Coturnix japonica: one gene and its partners. The protein of the gene in region 4 interacts with the protein of the main gene of each other region in a pairwise test. Links are inferred from orthologs where the notes say so. Each region holds a gene or a part of one and is shown on either strand. Other genes may lie near its edges. The genes, in order: SYBU, EXOC2, GOLGA4, EXOC1, TRIO and NUP54.

The links.
Region 1: the proteins of EXOC1 (region 4) and SYBU interact in a two-hybrid assay, tested with the Homo sapiens proteins (2 studies listed by BioGRID and IntAct). The link is inferred for Coturnix japonica from reciprocal best matches to the Homo sapiens genes EXOC1 and SYBU.
Region 2: the proteins of EXOC1 (region 4) and EXOC2 interact in binary tests that used the Homo sapiens proteins (3 or more experiments, as listed by UniProt). The link is inferred for Coturnix japonica from reciprocal best matches to the Homo sapiens genes EXOC1 and EXOC2.
Region 3: the proteins of EXOC1 (region 4) and GOLGA4 interact in binary tests that used the Homo sapiens proteins (3 or more experiments, as listed by UniProt). The link is inferred for Coturnix japonica from reciprocal best matches to the Homo sapiens genes EXOC1 and GOLGA4.
Region 5: the proteins of EXOC1 (region 4) and TRIO interact in a two-hybrid assay, tested with the Homo sapiens proteins (2 studies listed by BioGRID and IntAct). The link is inferred for Coturnix japonica from reciprocal best matches to the Homo sapiens genes EXOC1 and TRIO.
Region 6: the proteins of EXOC1 (region 4) and NUP54 interact in binary tests that used the Homo sapiens proteins (3 or more experiments, as listed by UniProt). The link is inferred for Coturnix japonica from reciprocal best matches to the Homo sapiens genes EXOC1 and NUP54.

What each region holds. Positions count from the first base shown.
Region 1 is NC_029517.1:119,514,168-119,516,529, reverse strand, and holds the end of SYBU (syntabulin), read left to right. Parts: coding exon 1-909; 3' UTR 910-1,862; downstream 1,863-2,362. UniProt on the Homo sapiens protein: Part of a kinesin motor-adapter complex that is critical for the anterograde axonal transport of active zone components and contributes to activity-dependent presynaptic assembly during neuronal development.
Region 2 is NC_029517.1:62,068,069-62,071,446, forward strand, and holds part of EXOC2 (exocyst complex component 2), read left to right. Parts: intron 1-821; coding exon 822-883; intron 884-2,409; coding exon 2,410-2,469; intron 2,470-3,378. UniProt on the Homo sapiens protein: Component of the exocyst complex involved in the docking of exocytic vesicles with fusion sites on the plasma membrane.
Region 3 is NC_029517.1:77,612,169-77,615,668, reverse strand, and holds part of GOLGA4 (golgin subfamily A member 4), read right to left. Parts: intron 3,431-3,500; coding exon 3,410-3,430; intron 3,216-3,409; coding exon 3,147-3,215; intron 2,561-3,146; coding exon 2,485-2,560; intron 1,428-2,484; coding exon 1,324-1,427; intron 1-1,323. UniProt on the Homo sapiens protein: Involved in vesicular trafficking at the Golgi apparatus level. May play a role in delivery of transport vesicles containing GPI-linked proteins from the trans-Golgi network through its interaction with MACF1. Involved in endosome-to-Golgi trafficking.
Region 4 is NC_029519.1:58,584,654-58,587,709, reverse strand, and holds the end of EXOC1 (exocyst complex component 1), read left to right. Parts: coding exon 1-99; intron 100-1,045; coding exon 1,046-1,240; intron 1,241-1,896; coding exon 1,897-2,049; 3' UTR 2,050-2,556; downstream 2,557-3,056.
Region 5 is NC_029517.1:54,045,804-54,049,303, forward strand, and holds part of TRIO (triple functional domain protein), read left to right. Parts: coding exon 1-131; intron 132-957; coding exon 958-1,727; intron 1,728-3,500. UniProt on the Homo sapiens protein: Guanine nucleotide exchange factor (GEF) for RHOA and RAC1 GTPases. Involved in coordinating actin remodeling, which is necessary for cell migration and growth. Plays a key role in the regulation of neurite outgrowth and lamellipodia formation.
Region 6 is NC_029519.1:44,543,178-44,547,290, reverse strand, and holds the start of NUP54 (nucleoporin p54), read right to left. Parts: upstream 2,801-4,113; 5' UTR 2,082-2,800; coding exon 2,030-2,081; intron 1,688-2,029; coding exon 1,526-1,687; intron 1-1,525. Other genes in the region: SCARB2 (lysosome membrane protein 2), read right to left, coding at 3,562-3,600. UniProt on the Homo sapiens protein: Component of the nuclear pore complex, a complex required for the trafficking across the nuclear membrane.

The DNA of each region.
Region 1 (2,362 bases), on a different chromosome or scaffold from region 4:
AAATATTTCATAGACATAAACATTCAGAACAAGAAACTGGAATCTTTGCTGCACAGCATGGAGATGGCTCAGAATGGCTCTCTGCGGGATGAGGATGTGTCTGACACACCAGGGAAGCCATTGGCACTGTATGCCAGGTTGCCAGACACCCTCATCACGGAGGAGCAAGCTTTGGAGGTTGATAGTGGGGTGCTTCTAAATGAGGACATAGCTAATGGGAATGATTCGTTTCAAGAGACTTTCAGCACAGCATGTGTTGAGTCGGCTGATCCAGCTTTCTTCATTTCTGTCATGGATCAAGAGGTGCTTGAAAGTGTTCCTGATGAAAAACTAAGGTCTCCTAGGAAGGAGGAGAGGAGCGGCATCGTGATGGTGGAACAGTCTGTCCAGACTGATGTGGTGCCATATAGCCTCAGTGTGGAGCGGCTCATTCAGAACATCTTCGGATCTCAAGATGTCTCTCCTCTGAGCCCGCCTTCCTCACTGAAGGAATTGAGTGATTTTTCTTCTGGAAGCTTCAGTGATTCTGCTATAGTAGTGGACTTAACTCCAAGTGATCCAAACTCTGCTATCCTTTTGTCTCCTATGGAGTCTCCATGCAGAAAGTTGGATTTCGGAGTTGATGAAAATCACGTCATGAAAGAACTTGATTTTACGGAAACGCGTGATGAAGTGTTCGGGTATGTGAATACTTCCTCTGAGACAGGAATAATGCAGAGGCACTGGAGTGGAAGTCTCCTTGTAGATGTCCTGGCTGTAGCAGCCCCTGTTGTACCCACTGTCCTGTGGGCATTCAGTACTCAGAGAGGAGGAGTAGATCCCATTTACAATATTGGAGCGTTGCTTCGTGGGTGCTGCCTGGTGGCCCTGCACTCATTGCGTCGTACAGCCTTCAATATTAGAGTCTAAATTCCACTGTCACTGGGCACCAATGGGCTGAGGTAGAGAGAGGGGGATGAGAGATACAAAGAGATATTGTATATTATGGCAGAGTCCATTGTTTTGCTCTTGAATACTTGATTTGCACTATAAATCGGTTCAAAAACATGTTCCTTGTTTCCAAATGAAGAAGGTTGAACCCTGTAGTTCCGCAGAATGTTTTTAACTGACATAACCCAGTACTGCTACCTACAGAAGTAGTCTTCCTGCTCCCAGTCACCCTCCTTCTGCTGGTGTATTTCTCAGGCCAGCACATCCACACAGTAATGGGGATCAGGGACAGCCTCAAGGCTGAGTTAGCCTTCATCTCCCTTTTACCCAGCCAGTTCACTGTGCAAATGCACAGACACTGTGCTGTGCCTCACGGGCAGCGTGAGGTGCACATAGGAACAAAAGGCCAGGGAAAGGTGGGGTATTTCTGTAGGCAACGGTAACAAAGCATTTGTGAAACTACAGTGTTAAGTAACACGGAGACTCGTTTCCACTAAGTGTTCCACACATGTACTCTAAAAAGCATGCTAGCGCTCGCCATTTGTTGTCTGAAGCTTCAATCCAATTTAAAGAAAACAAATGTATTTCCCTGACAGCTTCCCGCACATCCTTCATGCCTGTCTTGTGTAGTGCTCTTCTAAATCCTGCAACTGCTTGAGCATTCCACCAGTCTTGTGCGCATACGGACTGCAACCAAATGTCCAGTTCTTGGGAGTCTTGAAACTGTTAGGACGATAAGTATAGGCGTGGATACACTTTGAATAGTAATGTTGTTTTAGAGTCTTAATGTATTGGAACCTGATAGTCATTTGAGCCCTGTGAAACATCATCTGTAAATGTATCGTGTTTTAACTTATTGTTTATTTAACTGCTCTACTGTAAATTACCTTTATAACCACAAGTTCAGTAAAGCATGTTAGAAATGTTCAAAATCTTTCGAGTGTTTTATTGTAGCAAAGCTATTAAAAGATACTCGATTTCAGCTGGATGTCACACGTGCAGAGCAGGAGGAGGCACCATATAGAGGCATGAGGAACTGTCCGCATCCTGAAGAGAGTTTAAGAGAGAACAGCCCCAAGAGGGAGCACCACACAGAGGGCTGTGCTGGGTCAGTGATGCAGCTGCCGCCTCCTCAGCTAATAGAAGCAAGCCATCTAATTATTAACTCAATGCAATCCCAACTTGTAGCTTCTCATCTCTGCGCTTCCAGAAGCGTATCAGGCTTCCTGGCATTTCATAGAAACCTAGAAGGCTTTGTGTAACATGGCTGAGAGCCACAAAGTCCCACTGTATACACTGAGATGCACTGTGGCCCTCAAGTCATAAACTCTCCATGCCCTAAACTTGAGGTCTGCTCCTAAGAGAAGGCAACATCAGCCAGCAGGTGGATGCAGCGGAGTTGGCTCCATGCAAACCTCCAGCCACTGAAATC
Region 2 (3,378 bases), on a different chromosome or scaffold from region 4:
GAAATTCAGTTTATAATTTAAATGAAATGCTTGATCACTTTCTGAATATTTTTGTTTTACATAAAACTTCTGTCATGAGAACAATTATTTTTCAAAGAGTGAAGGAAGATATAGGAACTTTGGTTAATCTTTGACTTCATTGTCTACCATTATGTATGGTGGAGAATGGTGTAGGTGAAAATCATCATAGGATCACAGAAAGCTTAGGTTGGAGTGGACCTTAAAGATCATCTAGTTCCAACCCCCTGTGATGTACCTAGACAAGCTGAACCGTGCAGGAGTGACATCCTCAAGCTTATGTGCCCACCAGGTGACAGACAAGAAGCAGACCAGAACCATTCTACTTCCTCATCTAGTGGAAAAAAAATTCAGCAGCAAAGCCAAGAATAAAACATATATTGACAGACTTTTGTACTCCTGTTTCCTTCCTCCCTGGGCAAGCCATACAGTGAAAAGTCAAGCTCGCTGTATTATTTTTTGTTTTATTTTGCTGTTTTTAAGGTAGCATCCCTCTCCCTTTCTATCACAGAACTGAAAAGACAGAGCAAAATCAAAGCTTTGTTACTGTTACTGGGAGACAAACCAATGTTTTTAGGCTGTTTGACTTGAATCAAAAGTATGAAATTTATTGCAGTCTCCTAACTGACGAAGCAGCGTGGCAACCAGAAATACAGGAAATGAACTGTTACAGGCCAAGGCTACTCACTGCTGTAGCATGTTTTAGTTTTTGCTTCTAAGAAAGATGAAGGTTTGGGACAGTGGTGTTCTCTTGATCAGAAGACGTTATGTCATTGTTTCAGTACTTGTATTTCTGTCTTTAGGCAAGACTTGAAATCTGTGCTTTGAGGGATACGGTGGCCATATATCTAACTCCTGAAAGCAAGTAAGTTCTGCTACATTTTCTGCTGTTTTCACTGTAATGGAATCCTTTGTAAACATGCAAAAATACATGATGTAAATTAAGGATTTTCAAAAGATTGGTTCAGGTATGTGATATACTACATGATATACTACATATGTATGTAGAAAATTAATTCTTCTAAAGGTTTATCAGTTGATTTGAATTTGTGAACACAAACCAGGTATTCCTCATCCTTATCAAATGAGAGTTGGAAAAAAAACAAAACAAAGTTCTTAGTTGACTTGCTAAAGAAACTGTTGTTATAGCAAAAGCAATTGACACTGAGTTTCATCCCATTTATCTTAAAGCACACTACCAAGAGTCTGCCAGCCACTTCAGGGAGGGTGTAGAACCAGAGACTAATAGGATCCCCTCATAAGGACATGGAGAGTAGGGCTTTCCACAAGCTTGTATATTCTCCTCCTTTTTGAATGAAAACCTTCAAAAGGCTTTTAGCAATTTGTCAGTGAGGTGCAAGACTGCAGATAAGTTCTGGAGGACATGCTCACGCATACAGCATTATAATGGGGAAGGAAAGTGTTAGCAGCATACAGTGGTTGATGTAGTCAAGGCATGTAAAAATACAAGTCATGAAAGCTGTCAGCAGTTTTGAGTAAAGCTGGTTAATTGAAGTTTCTGAGTGAGTATTTTTGGGTCTGGATATGGGTGTTTTCATTCATTGTTTTTTCATTTGTCTAAGCTTTTGTTAGGATTAACATTACATGCTCCCACAGATTGTGATTTAGTCTTCTTATCTGATTAGTATTTTGTTGGAGACATTACAGGACTTGAGGCCCTGATATGTCTTTATATCACACATGGTATTATTCTATGGTGTCATTGATTTCAATTTCAAAAAAACTTGCTTCCCTGTTCTGAGTGTTTGACAGTGACGTAGACCTAAATGTAAGCTATTTGGCACCAGCTCATATTGAATAAAATGAAGTTGCTGTTGTGAACTGTGGAAGATGGAGCTTCATAGATGTCTCTTTATTTCTGGGCTCTTCACTGGTAGTAGTTGTCCTAAAGTCACCATTTTAATTTTGTAGAGGAAGATTAAATCAATCTGTGCAGGAATTGCATCATTCCCTGCACTTCTATTCCACATCTGCTGCTCAGAGAGGTGTGGAACTGCCTTCCTTGGAGATGCTCAGAATTTGACTTTGCCTCAAGAAACCTCCTGTTTCCTCAGAGTTGTCCCTAATTTGAGAGGATGTTTGGACCAAGAAACCTTCACTGTGTTCTAGGTACAAGGCAGGCTAGCAACTATCTATAATTCTTCAATGGTCTGCATTGTCAGGCGCTGTTTTAAATCAGTGGCAGATTGAACATTTCCTGTTTGCATCTGTTGTACTTCATATTAGGATGAGTTGAGAGACCTGCTTGAGCCCATGGCCACTTTGTTTAATTTGCACATGAACATCAAGTGCTAAGTTAACATTTTGTTAATTTAACTGAAAGTTGAGACTTGTACCAGGGGAATATGAATATTTTTGTTTTCCTTGCAGCTCAAGCTTTAAGCAAGCTTTGGAAGCCTTGCCTCAGCTCTCAAGTGGAGCTGACAAAAAGTGAGTATACTGCACCTTCTTGTCTTTCTTCTGCTTTCTGGAGCCACTTTCATATCAGAGCTTTACTAGAAGAGGGCTAACTTATACTGTATTTGACCCTTTAGATTTACAGTGTAGAAGGATCTTCAGACAAGGTTAAAAATTACCTATTTAGATAATTCTTGTAATTCATCATATCTCATTCATTATATGGCCTATTATTTATACAGAGGAGCCAATGGCTTTGTAGCATATGTCACTTTCTCATTCTAGTCTTATCAATTCTCTGTACTTTTATATTTATTTTATAATTTCAGTTCATTTTAGCTTTCCGTGCTGATTTTAGTTTCTGTGAGGTCCATTGTCTTGTCTTACTGAATTTAACAGCAATAAAGAAAATACCAAGTAACAAAGTGCAAGTTTTCAGTGGCTGATATTTAGGCAACTCTCAAAACTGGCTTGCTTCATTTTAGAAACAAGAAGAGTCTTTTGTTCTGTCTTAACATCAGGAGGAGGCATTTGGGGTTCTTACTTCCCCACCACAGCAAACTTTGAGAACCAAGCTGCTGCACTGCACTAAGTACAGTATTTGTTAGTTTATTTTACAAGAATAGCTTAATACAGAATAATATGGTAAAACTAGAATGGATTTGTCTGAAGTATATTAGAAAAAAAAGTTGAGCTTCTTTGTACGATCCATGATCCACAAACGGTCTTCTCCCAGATATCTTTTGTATTCAAAACTACCCTTCACATGACATAAGAAGTCTAAAGATACCTTCTTGCTGCCTTACTTAGCCTAATTAAACACAGGAATCAGTTTTGAGACAGTTCTTTCAACTCGGACTTTCCACAAAACCTGTAGGCTTGTTTGTTTTTTGATTTATATTTTCTCCTTAGTCACAAGGACAGATGAGAATCAAGAACTCC
Region 3 (3,500 bases), on a different chromosome or scaffold from region 4:
AATTACATAGAGTGCAATCTCCAGGACAAATACATACTCACACAAATATAAACATCTTTTCATCAAAGCAACTGAAGGAATGCTTCCTACCTGTAAATAATATGTACTAGTCATCCATTACAGTACAGTCTCAAGGGCTGGCTGAAGTTGGAACATAGCCGACAAAGTTTGTTATTGTTGTTAGGGTTTATTATTATTATCATTTTCTTGTGTTTAAGTCCCTTGCAATTCAAAAGTGTAATATCCAATAATATATATTTTTATTTAATGATTTCTAACAGACGCTATTAAGGTAAGAGAGCCATCCAATGAGCCACAGGCCTAAGAACAGAAGCTAACTAGTGATTCTGGTGGTTGTTTTTGGATCCAGAATTTGTATTTTTAATAAAATGGGAGTTAAATAGTGAAATAAGAAAAGGGATAAAAAGAAAGAGGAATCTTCTAAGGACAAGAAGTCCTGTGTAGACCAAGATTTATTCCATAAGGAGCACAGTTAACACAGAACCCTGCATAAAACCTTTTTACTTAGCAACTGTCCAAGTTGAAAGCAGTACAACAAAGAATGGAAGAACCCCAGGGAAGAAAAAAAAACCCTATATTCATCCACATCCACACAGCATTTGTCATCCAAGAAAAATGTTTGTGTTACGACATACCTCCTTTGAAGCTGGTCTTAGCATCAGTATTGTTACAAGCTAGTAAAATTCCAACATAGGAATGATTTCACAAGCTTGTCAGCATACAACAAGGAGCCTACTGTGCAGCTTTTCTCTGCTTTTAATAGTAGGTTAATACTAACTAGTGAAGGTACACAGATTTGGGAGTCTTATAAAAGATCTTTAAGGAACAATTTGAAAAAAAAAAACAAACAACCCTTCATCTTCAGAGCTTGTAACAGGGTAATACAACTGTAACTTAATCATATTTGCAACAAGATAACATCACAAAAGTAGTTTGCTAATACAGTGCATATCAGCTTTCAAAGTCCAGTAAGCCTGACTGACATTAAGTCTTCTGCTGGTAAAATAACACCTACCTGGAGGGCTATTTGTTTCTGTAAGTGCCTTGGTGAGAGATGTGACACACACTCCCCCTCCCTGGTGTTCTCTCCTTTCACTCCCCCTGTGTTTTATCTCAGCGTTCCAGAGAAGCTGGTAAAGATACATGTCTCTTTCTAAGAAAGCCCTGAAAGTCCATTGAGTCTTTTTACACAGACAGAAAATGCATGATGAATTGCCATCATCATGGCACTTAAGATCAATACAGCAAGGAACGTAACTTCATTCTAACCCACATCACATCACTGTATACAACTTTCCATACCTTTGTCTCACGACCCATCATATATTCAAAAAGCACTTTCCTCAAGTATTCAAACTCAGTGGGCTCTCCGAAGAGAGAAACGTCAGTATGATGAAGATTTCCATCTGTGTAAACAAAAATAAGTATATTTATACTAAGAGTAACTCATAAGAATGTAAGTTATTCATAGTCAGAAAGTCACTGAAACAAAATGTAATCAAGTATGAAACATGGGCGTAACAACCATAATTATGCCAGATGCCTAAAACCTACTCAGAGCAATTTCCTGAAGCATAAAACATAATGGATCAGCACAATTAAAAATCCTCAACAACGTACTACTCATGAAGTTTCGTTTTTAGCTTTAGCTGTCTTACAGACTAGGTGTAAGGCTGGAGATACATACATGGAAACAAAAAAAAAGGAGTACAAAGTTAAGAAAAAAAAAGGCATTGGTGAATATGCTAGGAAGTTGTATACCAAACTATGACTACCTTCATCAAGTTCTGCAAAGACAGCAGTGAAGAATAACTTTTCTGAGGAATATTTATAGAGAATAAACTAATAGTTTAGCTTTATTCTCACCAAGATGGAAGATAGAAAGATTCACAATTTAACATAAACCCAGCATCACAGGCCAATGGCAAATTAAATTAGGTGTTGGACTAATTTGGATACAAGTCTTCAGGGAAAGTGGAATTTTGATAGAGAAGAAATGGTCCGCAGAGAGGTTAAAGATAATAATAAAGTGATTTGCTTAAAGTAACTCCTCAAGACAACTTTTTAAAGGAGTGCTCTTAATAAATATGGATACAGGAAGAAAAGTAACAGCACGGTAATCAAGGTGTCAGAGCAGATCTTGGAAAGGGCATTTAGTTATAAGAATAGCAAAAGTCCAAACATGCAACACAAGAAAGCTTTGTGAAATCTAATGATTGCATATTTAAGATTTTTTAAAGAGTCAAAAATTGTATTCAGTTAAGCTAGGGTATAATTCCCCTCCAGCAAATTTTCACTGAAACTGCCTCTATCAATTCCCCAGAGATAACAGATTGCTGATACAGAGCTGTTTCACTTGTAAGATAAATGTTTCAAAAAAACCCCAGATATATTAATGGATTCTCTAAACAAAAGCATATCTTTCAAATAAACAAACTTGTGTGATGAAAATTACATGCATACCTCTGTATGGTGTTCCAACTGATGTGACATACATTTTCTTTTCATAATTTTTTAGTCTGTCTTCCAGTACATGAATCTAGACAGAGATGAGTCATGATCAGAACTGTTGAAGTTAAAAGTAAGCATAAGAAGTTCCAGCTAAACATCCTGAAATTCTAGTAGAGCAATTTGCCCTCAAATAAGATATTAATAACTGTGCCTAACTAAAGAAAATTGTGTACACGTGCATATAGACACACCAAAATATCTATACACATACATATTCATATACCTATATTCATGTGATATATACATATATATACATACATATACATATATTAAAACACAGATATAACATTATTTACTTATTTTACCTAAAACCAGAAAATCTAGTTTAGAAAAAGTGGGAAAACATAATTTCAAAAAGGACATTTGTAAATTTTCATTCTGCAGATGTTTTTGATAACCTGCACCACTTATATTTGGTATTTTCATACCCTGGGGACCGAGAAGTATTTTGACAATGTGCATAGATGTATGAGCCAAAACTATTTTACATGTATTAGTATTATACTTGCTGTATAGAGCTGTGCTACATCATCAGTTGAAAGGAACCAATAGTTTCAACTGCAAGTACAAATAATCAGATGATGTTTTTTCCTTTGTTCAAACAGTGCCCTTACCTGCTCCCTGAACTCCTGCTCTTTCAACTTTGAATCGTTGACTAGCGTTGTCTTCTGTGCAAGCTGTGCCTGAAAGAACAGCCACATACAGAAAATTTCAAAAAACTCCTGAACATACCACTTTAATAAGCTTTTAAGCTTTACTTTTTTTTTTTAACTTTCAATTCACACGAACTTATAAGCAGTGCTGCTAGCTTCAAAGTGATGTGACATAGCATTACATAGAAAACGAACATTAAAAAAATAAATAAATCAAAACTTACCTGAAGTTCAGCTATTGCTACCTAAAAGAAAAAAAAAAAAAAAAAAAAGGATGAAAACGTAGGTATGAAAAAAGAAAATACTAAATATCTC
Region 4 (3,056 bases):
TGTCTTGAAGCTGAGAAAAAAGAAGCCAAACTGAAATACACCGAACATCTTCAGTCTTATGTAGTCTACTCACTTGGACAGCCTCTTGAAAAATTAAATGTAAGTATACTTCATTCTAGCTATATACTACCCTACATAATTTTAAAGTACATATACAACTTTCTCTTATGGTTAGTTCGCACTTCTTGTTACCACTTTTAACTTTCTGTGGGTTGACCTCTTTCTGAACAACAGCCACCCTTGAGGACAAACAGCGTCTCTTCCTCTAGCTGCACTTTTTATTGCTGAGTATTACATTGTATGCTAAAGAGTACACTTAGGAGCTTCTCAGCTGTCCAGCTGTGTCCCCTCCCAGCTTCTTGCCCATCTCCAGACTACTATGGAGGAGGCAAGAGGAGGACAGGACATGTGTGGAAAGTCTTGCTGTGCCAAAATGCTGTGGTGTTATCAGTGCTGTTTGAGCTACAAGTCCAAAGCACAGCACCATGTAGGCTGCTATGAAGAAAATTAATTCTGTCTTGTCCAGAGCCAATGCAATGCTTCAAGTGATGTTACAGTTCTACATGCACATTCATAAGCATATTTCTTTCAGTTTTTATTATGTTGATCTACATGGTGAGGAATCTTGAGAAAATAGGGCAATAATGAACTAAATATAATAAAATAATAATAATAATACTGCTCTTGTATTGTTATGATTTAAGTAGAAAACTTCCAATTCAAATGCTTTGCCAGTTTATCTGAAAGATCCGATGTTAACTCAAGCTATGGTCACATTAACTTAGGAGTCTGAGACTGGTTCAGTATTAGATACAAGTGTATCTGAAAGCTTGACTGCTTCTATTGATGATTAATTTCTTTTTACCTTATTACTTACCGAGTACTGCATTAGTGTGCTGTTCTTTAATGTTTATGGCTGAGCACAACTTCTGTTAAACAGAACAACTGTTGTGTGTTCCCCACATTTTTGTTGAAGGTAGAGTTTGAGAAGCATTTAATTAGTTTGTATTTATGACAATCATTAATAGTATTATTGTTTTGTTAGCATTTTTTTGAAGGCGTTGAAGCTCGCGTGGCCCAAGGTATACGAGAAGAAGAAGTGAGCTATCAACTGGCTTTTAATAAACAAGAGCTTCGCAAAGTTATAAAGGAGTATCCTGGCAAAGAAGTCAAGAAGGGATTGGATAATCTTTACAAGAAGGTAGACAAACATCTCTGTGAAGAAGAAAACTTACTTCAGGTAAACTAAGTCATGGCTTAAAAATCTCTTGTATGCTTGCAGAAAGGCCTTTATTTTTTCTTTTATGTGATGGAAGAGATGTGCCTGGCTTCAGCAAAATACTGAAAAACACTGAATTTTAAACTGTTTTCGGGTGGTTTGTATGTTTTTAATAAATAAAATCACAGATTATCATAAGAGATTGGTTTCAAGTAAGGTGGTATGGTTCTGAAAGAAAATCCTTCTGTGATTCCTTAGTTAATTCAATAATTGCTAATTCACTAATGTACACATTAGTGAACGATCTCTATTCTGCAAAGTAAGATGTAAATAGAAAGAACTAGATTTAAATGAACCATTAACTTGGCATGAAATTTAGCTTGTACGCTGCAGTAGAACATAGTTCAGCTTGACTTTTTCTGGTAGCGTATCATTCAGATCTTCTGTTACATTCTGTAAACTTTCAAGTGTGAATATGGATGCAGGCTTGGTTTGGGTTGTTTTCTGTGAAGAGAAGTGACCTCATTTTATTTTTCTATTTTGTAATGCACTTGGTAGGAGTGATGTAAATATTAATGATCTTTCAGAAAATTGATGGGTAAAAAACTTTGAGAGATTTTAATGCAGTAAGTATATTGTACCAGTTGTCATATGCTAAAATCTGCTTTTGTTGGCAGGTGGTGTGGCATTCAATGCAAGATGAGTTCATACGACAGTACAAGCACTTTGAAGGGCTGATAGCTCGCTGCTATCCTGGATCAGGAATTACTATGGAATTCACTATACAGGATATTTTAGACTACTGCTCCAGTATTGCACAATCTCATTAAGGTTCTATAAAGGGACAGAGAAGCTAGCAAAGTCTGTGTCTGTATTATAAGGGAATCAAACACTAAAGTCGCTGTTTGTTTTTAAAAGGTGCATTTCGGTGTGTATATACATCTAACTGTTGTGTATGTATGTGCTTCAACTGTCTTTCAGGGCAGAATGAAACCTTTGGTCATTCATTGCTCTTCTACTGCATTGAAACACTGTTTGAAAGCATTAATCTATGAAACACTTTGTATACATTTTTCCCCTCCCCTAACACTCAAATGCTGTTATTTATAATTAAAATAATGTTGTCCTTGTTAAAAGCAGCAAGCACTACCTGTGTAGTACACAAAAGGGCACTGCCATCTCCACTAATGCTTTGTGTCTTGGAGATTATACGAGGATTAACGGCTGCTATATGTCTTCCCATCCTCACTGCAGACAGTGTGGGTGTGGGATGTTGGGCAGTGGGAATGATGTGATGTGCGGGCGGCTGTCCTTGATTAAATCTATCCATCGCATTCTTTATGTCTCCGTGGTGTGTTAATGTCCCTATGGTGGCAATGCAGAGCAGCTCCATGGCGCTGTCTGTGTGTACTGCCGTAGCGCCGCTCTATTTCTCAATAATTTTTCCCTTCCTTTTAGCGGCTGTGATGTAACATGATGTCACGGTCTCGTGACAGGGGCGGGGCTGTGTGGCAGGGCCGTGCCGCGTTGCTGTGGTAACAAGGCGGAAGTGGCTGCTGCGCCGCGCGCCATTTTCAAACCGGCGTTGGGGCCGGGGCCTCCCGGGGCTGCGGGGCTCCCGCTGCGGTACAGGCCGCTCCCGCCCCATGCGCTGTGAGCGCGGGCAGGGCCGAGCAGCCCGGCGGCCGCTGGGACCGTGTTTCCTCCGGGCTCTGCCGATACATCGGTGACACGGCTCGGCAGCTCCTCCGTGCTTTGCCCTGGAAGGATTTACCTTCAGCAGCGTGTCGGTAAGGCTCAGTCGGAGGGAGAGGGACGGGGGAGGTGGGAATAGAGC
Region 5 (3,500 bases), on a different chromosome or scaffold from region 4:
ATTTGCACTAACATCAAGAACGGGTGATGTCACGGAGACCTTTGTTTTGCATTCTGCCAGTCCAGGAGTCCGCCAGCTGTGGATCCATGAAATTAACCAAATTTTGGAAAACCAGCGCAACTTTTTAAATGGTAAATCATCAGCTCTCATCAAAAGTTCATAGTTGAGTGAATTCTCTCTCATCTGTTGTTTTCTTTCCTTTGAAATGCTCTGCAAGTTTCCTTTTTCCTAAACTAATACAGAACAGTTGCGGGTTTTGCTGAATTTTTGCTTTAGAACAGATGCTAGCATTTCTTGTAAGAGTGATAGTCTGAATTTATGTGTTGTTTACTTGGTGAAATGTTCCAAATGTTTTGTAGAATTGAATTACGAGAGACACCATCAGTTGATGGGAAGAGTCTGTGTAACCTTTGAACCAAATGCAAGCCTTTAAAGGCTAAATACCAGTTCAGTTTTAAGTATCTGTTCAGAATCTGTTTTCCATTTGTTATTTTGTTGGTCATTGTTGTTCCACCTTACTTGTGGCATCAACAGTCAGGTTCTGCAGGAGACCATGATGATATCCTTTGGATACTTCCTACTGGGAGGTTCTTGCTATGTTTTTGTATCCGTAGCTTGTTGCCCTGATCTAGAGTTGTAATGGGTAGAACAATACACTGAGAGTCATATCTCTTTTTGCCCATCTTGGCTACTGACCAACAGTGCGATCTGGAGGAAGACATTTCTGCCTGGATTTAACTTTTCTGTCTTTAACAGAGAGCAGGTGATATATGGCAAGTCATTAAAGGTATAATATACAAAAGTGACTTGAAGTCTATGGCGTGACTGGCATTGATAAGGGAATTTCGCATTTGAGACACATTCTCCTTTTGTCACAAAAAAAGTCTGCTTGAACTATTTCTGTTCCCTTTCCTGCTCTCTGTTCCCTGATCACCTCCACTCCCTTCCCCACTGCAGCCTTGACGTCTCCAATCGAGTACCAGAGGAACCACAGCAGTGGTGGAGGTGGCAGCGGCAGCAGCAGTGGTAACAGCAGCGGCCCCAGCAGCTGTAGTGGAATCCCCACCTCCAGCCGTAGCCGGCCATCCCGGATCCCCCAGCCTGTCAGACACCATTCCCCAGTCCTGGTCTCCTCTGCAACCTCGGCCCAAGCAGAGGCAGACAAGATGTCAGGTATGTCCATTCACAATCTCTCCCTGCCACACTACAACACCTCCTTAGAAACTGGCCTGAGCCAGCCAGACAGGCACCCTCCCAGTGCAGAACCGGACGGTCCTCAGAGAGAAGCTGAGCAGATTCCCAAGATGAAAGTTATTGAGAGTCCCAGGAAGACAGCGGGAAACATTTCTGGCTCAGCTGACGGAGCCCAGAAAGACTCACGTGGAAACTCAGAGGAAAGTCGCTCAAGAAGCAGCGTAGGATCACTGACGCTGGGGAAGCCAAGGCCAGGAGCAATCTCACCAATGAACTCTCCTCTCTCCACGACTTTCCCTTCTCCTTTTGGCAAAGAAACCTTTCCACCCAGCAGCCCCCTGCAGAAGGGCTCCTTTTGGAGCTCCATCCCAGCATCCCCTGCCAGCCGCCCTGGCTCCTTCACTTTCCCTGGGGACAATGACTCCCTCCAGCGGCAGGTCCACCGCCACTCTTCACACAGCAAGGACACAGACCGCATGAGCACATGCTCCTCGACCAGCGAGCAGTCAGTTCACTCCACCCAGAGTAATGGGGTAAGAGCGGAGCACCTCTGTCCTGCAAGCTCTTCTAAAACCTTCCCATGCTCCTTTCCTGTGCGTTGCCATCACTCTCCGTACTAACTTCTGGCTCTCCGGCGCTCTACTGCTCTGAAATAATCAACTGCTCCGGTGTCTTCTGCACATTAAAAAATAAAATTATCTGCCTCTTTGTGTGTGTATACATAAAAAATGTAGATGGTGATATGTATACAGACACACAAACAACTGCTAACATTAGATACAGTTTCTGCCTCTGCTGAAAGCATAGATCACTAGGCTGATCCTTACTAACTTGCTGTCCTTGCTGTTTCTTCTCTAATTTGAAGGCACATAATTAACTTGCTGAAGCGCAGCAACCAGAGCACCTTGGGGTATGCATTGCAGCCAGCATTTACATCTGACTTTTGAGATTTTGGCAGATTGTCTTGGGGCTTTATTCCCTGTCACGCACAAATCCACCGCCAGCTGTCCATTGAGTTTTAACTTCGTTGAGACATCTACCAAACAGTCCCTGGGCTGCTTGATATTATTTTGTATTTATTTCCCCACACACTCCTCCTTTCAGCATTAGTTGATATACAGTATTCTCTTTTTAAATCTTATGCCTGGTCAAAGAAGCTTCCTACGGTCCACTCAAAAAAGGCAATCAAAGCCTAGCTAAAGTAATCAACTGTTCTTCTGCTACAATCAAAACAAATAGCGGCTCCACTTTTCCCTTCTGCATTGTAAGAAGAACTGTTTTAGTGCACCTGGAGATTCAACCTTTTAGTATGTACTTGGCATGTTCGTGCAGAAATCTGGGGGGGAGGGTGTCAAATGAATCCGCAGACTTTGTAATGATGTCTTCCAGGAAATGTAACACAGCGATCACAGGGCATGTGCAACATAAGCAAAACTGTCAAGGCACTTGCCATGGATATCATAGGGCAGGCTATGGTGCCTTTGTTAAAAGTCACATTTGATTCTTTTCTCACTAAGTATTGTGTTCAATGTTTGTTTTTCCACTCTCTCACAAATCGTATGTAGTAGCAATTTTGCAAATCACCTAACTTGGCATTCTTTTTTTTTTTTTTTAAGTGCATGCATTTCTTTATAGAACTGTTTTAACACAGAGAATTTTCTTCTTAGTCCTGACACTTACCTTTATAATAGCTTCAGAAGAAAAAATAATGCTTTGCATGTATCATATTTTGATCCTGATATTCCATCTTTTCATTTGATATAGCTCTGTCTTGTTGTTTATCTTCAGTCTAGCAAAGTATGATGGTAATATATTGGCTGCAGTTATCAACGTGTTTCACAATTATTGTGACTTGTATAGCATTGATGTCATTGCATTTAAAAAAAAAAAGAGAGAAAGGAAGGCACTAAATTTTTCAAAACATTTGAATTTTGATACTGTTGGCAAAGGTGCCTTTGGTTTTTTGTCACTGCAAAACAAAGTCCGAATGCATGCCTTCTGCTTCACTGCTGCATTTCTTTTAGCTGGGTCACAATTATTCATTTATAACTCCATTTGCAGCCCATATTTTAGCAGGATTACACATTGCATTCAGCAGGCTAGAGAAGATGGGTCACGAAGGTTTATTTTGGTGTATTCATTTGTATGTGTATATTTACACACACATATGGTTAGGGTTACTTCATAGGGTTTCTTGGATACGTAAAGGTCACCCGTAAGAAGGAAAAACAGATGTGTTGTAATTGCTGTTATTTTTTTCAGGAATATGGAAGCAGTTTTTTAGTGTTTGATTGCCTAACCTCTGT
Region 6 (4,113 bases), about 14 Mb from region 4:
GGGGAAACCCAAGCACAGGCCCAAGCTCCACCACAGCTCCCAAAAATCTTTGCATTTGTCCTTCGGACCACACCATCTCTTTGCTAATGCACCATCTGACCCAATGTGCAGCATATGGACACCTGAATAGCCCCGTGTTTCAAATCCTCCATGTTTCTGACCGATTTTACACACATTTAAATGAAGATGGACAGTCTAGTATATACAATGTATCAAAACAAAGCAATGCTGCCAGTTCTCATTCACGTGTCAACAGCAAAAAAGAAGCCTGTTCAGACCTACTGCACTTACCGTCTTGTATATACATACAAAATAAAGAGCTCAAATCAAAGCTGATGTGCAGCCACATTTTATTTTAATTCAGCAAACGACACAACTAAATGTAAGAGCTGCTCCCTGAAACTTCCAGGTTTCAGTCCTATCAGCACATAAGCAACCCTAGCAGCAACAGCAGACGACACAATTTTTAGACAGATTTGTGTTCACAGCAATTTAACACCCTTTCTTAGAGAAGGCTCTAAAAGTGCAAACTACTGAACAAAATAATATATCCAAGTTCTCTTGGATTAGTTACAATTCAGCTCAAGAAATACAGTCCAGTAGCACTCATACCCAGTTAAAAACCAAACCAGATCCCTTGAGCTCACAAAACAGGTAGGAGTATTCTAACACAGGGAGTGATGATGCCGTGGAATGAATATAACTCCTATACGAGCAGCGGCAACAAGAACCAAGGGAGAATTCCATTCAGGAAAAAGTGTGAGAAATCCATATAGTTGAGCAATTTTGTTTTAACAAAATGGGACAGACTTAGCTGGAAATTTATCAGCTGGTTACTCAGAACTGATGAGCCTACATGGGGCTACAAAGGGTTTTCTCAACAAGCAGTCAGCACACACCATGCTGGACAAAACCCCCCCAGGGAATTACTTTGCTGGGACATGCTCCACGTCAAGAGGCAGAACAGTTTTAGGAATGGAGGTAAAAGTGAGAGCTGTTCATTTTATTGCTGATCGTATAAAATTTGTTTCTCCACGGAAACAACTGAAGTGCAGCACATTCATGGCAACCAACAGAAGGCCGATGAGGAGACATGGGGAGGATGAAAACCATGACTGCAGCAGTCCAAGAATGTCACGTGAGGAAATGAGGCATTAGGGACCAGCTCTGCAACAGTTCTGATGGCCCAGACCTAAAGGCAGAACCAATGTTTCAGTTCTGCTGTGTGATTGAGACTCGATTTTGGATGGGATAAGGCTAGCAGGTTACTGTGATTCATCTCCAGTTCAGTGTCTAATCAGCCATGTGGTCATTTTTCCTTATCAGCTACTTCTGGAGAATTTAGTAGGCAAAAATAAAAACCCTTATAATTGCACGGCTCTATAACTCATTCCACTACAGAGCTTTTGCCTCCAGTCTTCACTGTATATAAAGGAAGTTCAGCACAGATTCTGAGTCAGGAACGCAATTCTTGGACCTCTGCTATTCACATTTATTACAGAACAAGTATATGTGTAATATCTACCTGCACTTGCCAGACTGTTACCAAAATTGAATGGCGGAGTTGAGGTAGTAGAAACACCGAAATTCCCAATATTAAAATTCACTGCGGGATTAGCAGCTAATCCGAAACCCCCAAAATTAAACCCACCGGCGGTGGAGTTTGTGGTTTCAAGCCCACCAAATCCTGACAAGCATGAAGCAGAAAGAGAGCAAGGCGGCGTTAGTTCTGCAGAAAGGTAGGTTCGGAAGTAACAGCTGACATACCGTTTTGGCACTAAAGACGAGGCAGGCATAGTTAATAACGAGAGTAAGGCATTAACTGGCACCAAGCACGAAACGCTTAGCAGCTAAAAGCAAGGTTTAACCCCGTTCTCCCCACGTTGCTATTGGGATGGCGTTCCTGAGCCGTATGGCACAGTAAGCCCAGTGTCGCCCTGCAGCCCGCCGGCGGGGCTGGCTCCAGCCGCACTCACAGCCGGCCCTTCACGGCTCTCCCTCCATCCCCACGCGGAGGCCCCGCACTCACCGCTAGGGTTGGAGGCCCCGGCGCCCGCCGCCGCCCCGAAGTTGAAGGCCATGAGGGGCCGCAGCGGCGGGAGGCGTGCCCGCAGCCCGCACCGCCAGGAAACAACGGGTGGTGCTTCCGGCCCCGTCACTACGGCGCTTCCAGACGGGGCGGGCCGCCATGCTCCGCCTGCGCCATAACGCGCCGCCAGGCGGTCCAGCACAGATACTGCGGGACGGGGGGCGGGCGGAGGGTGACGGAGAGACCGGCCTGCTGTAATGACCGCCCTGCTGTAGGCCTTTCGCCATCGGAAGCGCTAACGTTCTCTTAGAACTTTCTCGCCTGTTTACCGAGAGAAGCTCAGACAGGGCTTGGTAATGTGGAGCCTAAGTAACGGTGAGCATCGTTAGCCAGCCCAGTTAGAATAAAACTTGAACGAGGCACCCACAAGGCAAAAAAAACCCAACGAAGCAAACCAATGGAGAAAAACAAACAGGATAAACCCCGCTATACCTCTGTGTGGAAGAAAATGATACATTTTAAAACGTGTGTCACTGTCTACATCTAATGGAAACGCGTCTCAATTAGAATGCTCCATCAGTGGGAAAAGTCCCACTGCTGGGACTGGTTTTCATAAAGCAGCTTCCACTTGGCGAGGAAAAAATGCTGAGAGCTTTTCCAGGCCTTGCACGTACCTCAGGCTGGAGGTGTGTTTTGATCCCAAACAACAAATGTCACCAACAAACCCGTGTGTACAAAACGCACACTGCTGGTAGCTGAGATACCACCAGTGAGCAAAAGCACACCTCTGCTGTGCCTTACAGCAACACCATGCAAGTTTGGTTTGCTTTCTCTTTTTCAGTTGAAGGGAAAAGAACCCCATGAACTTTAAGGATATCCCCTACAAGCAATGGGATCCCATGCAGGGTTAGAACAGCTACAAGGTCTGAATGGAAGAGCACTCCCAGGGGTTGGCTTCTTTCTACCTGCTAGCACCAGGTGTTTAAGGAATTCCACGCAGCGGTTTGGATCAGTTGTACAGATCCGTTCTGTACTTTAATACCAAACAGTCAGTGCAAACCGGCAGGAAGCAGCGCGCAGGACTTTACAGAAAAGACAACAGTGAGGCTACAGGAAACCGACAGGTGTGTGAGTGACACAGGAACCTGCTGCATCTCTACAAGGGTTCTTTGCAGCCCACGCTCCTAAGGCCATTTGTAAATGTTACCCGTCGTTTCTGTAACGAATCAGGCCGTTTTATTTTCACCGAGGAAGTGGTTATGATGGTCTCTGAGTGTCAGTGCAGGTACGAGAGAGTGCGGGGCTGAAAAAAGCAGGATCTCGAGCAGTTTTAAAATGTAGTTCAGTAGTTGTAACTTAGCTGCTAAGAAAAGTCTCCTCCCCTGACGACAGTGCAGATTCTCTTCCATCTTTGAACGTTACACTTGACACGACTGTTTCTCCACAGTGGACAACACTGGGTAGTGGTAGCTGGTATTAGGTAAGCTCTAATGATTTATTCTCCAAGCTCACGTATTTAAGAAGATCTACTACTATGTCCTGATGAGCGGGGACCTTTCTTCTTCAGTGCTCTGAAAGAAAAAAGTTGCAACACAGGAAGATTGAATGTGGCACATTAGAGAGCTTCCGTGCAGGGAAGCTAAATTTCCTAAACTCCAGAGAGGAAAGGAAAAAGCTCTTGGCTCCTACTTCTAAGTGCAGATTTACTTAAGGGAACCCTCACTGTGCAAGGGAGGTGCTGGAGGGTGGATGGCAGCTTTGGCAGGTAGCAGCACTGGGATGATGCAGAGATGTTCCAGATTTCCCTGTGCATGTGCAGAGGCAGAAGTGAGGCAGGGGGGAGTGGAGGAAAAGGGCCAGGACGCACCCCATACAGGGGGCTGCCTGCTCCAGGTGACACGGGCATTCAGCATACTGATATATACATACTTGACAGCTGAGATTGCTCAGGCTCCCTGTAGTACTTTCCATGTGACCACAGTCACCCTGCATCACAAAGATAGCTCTGATTGGCAGAATCACTTTTATGTTTGCAGGAAAAGCAACAAAAATAATACAGAGAAAATATGAAAAGCAGGTGTCCC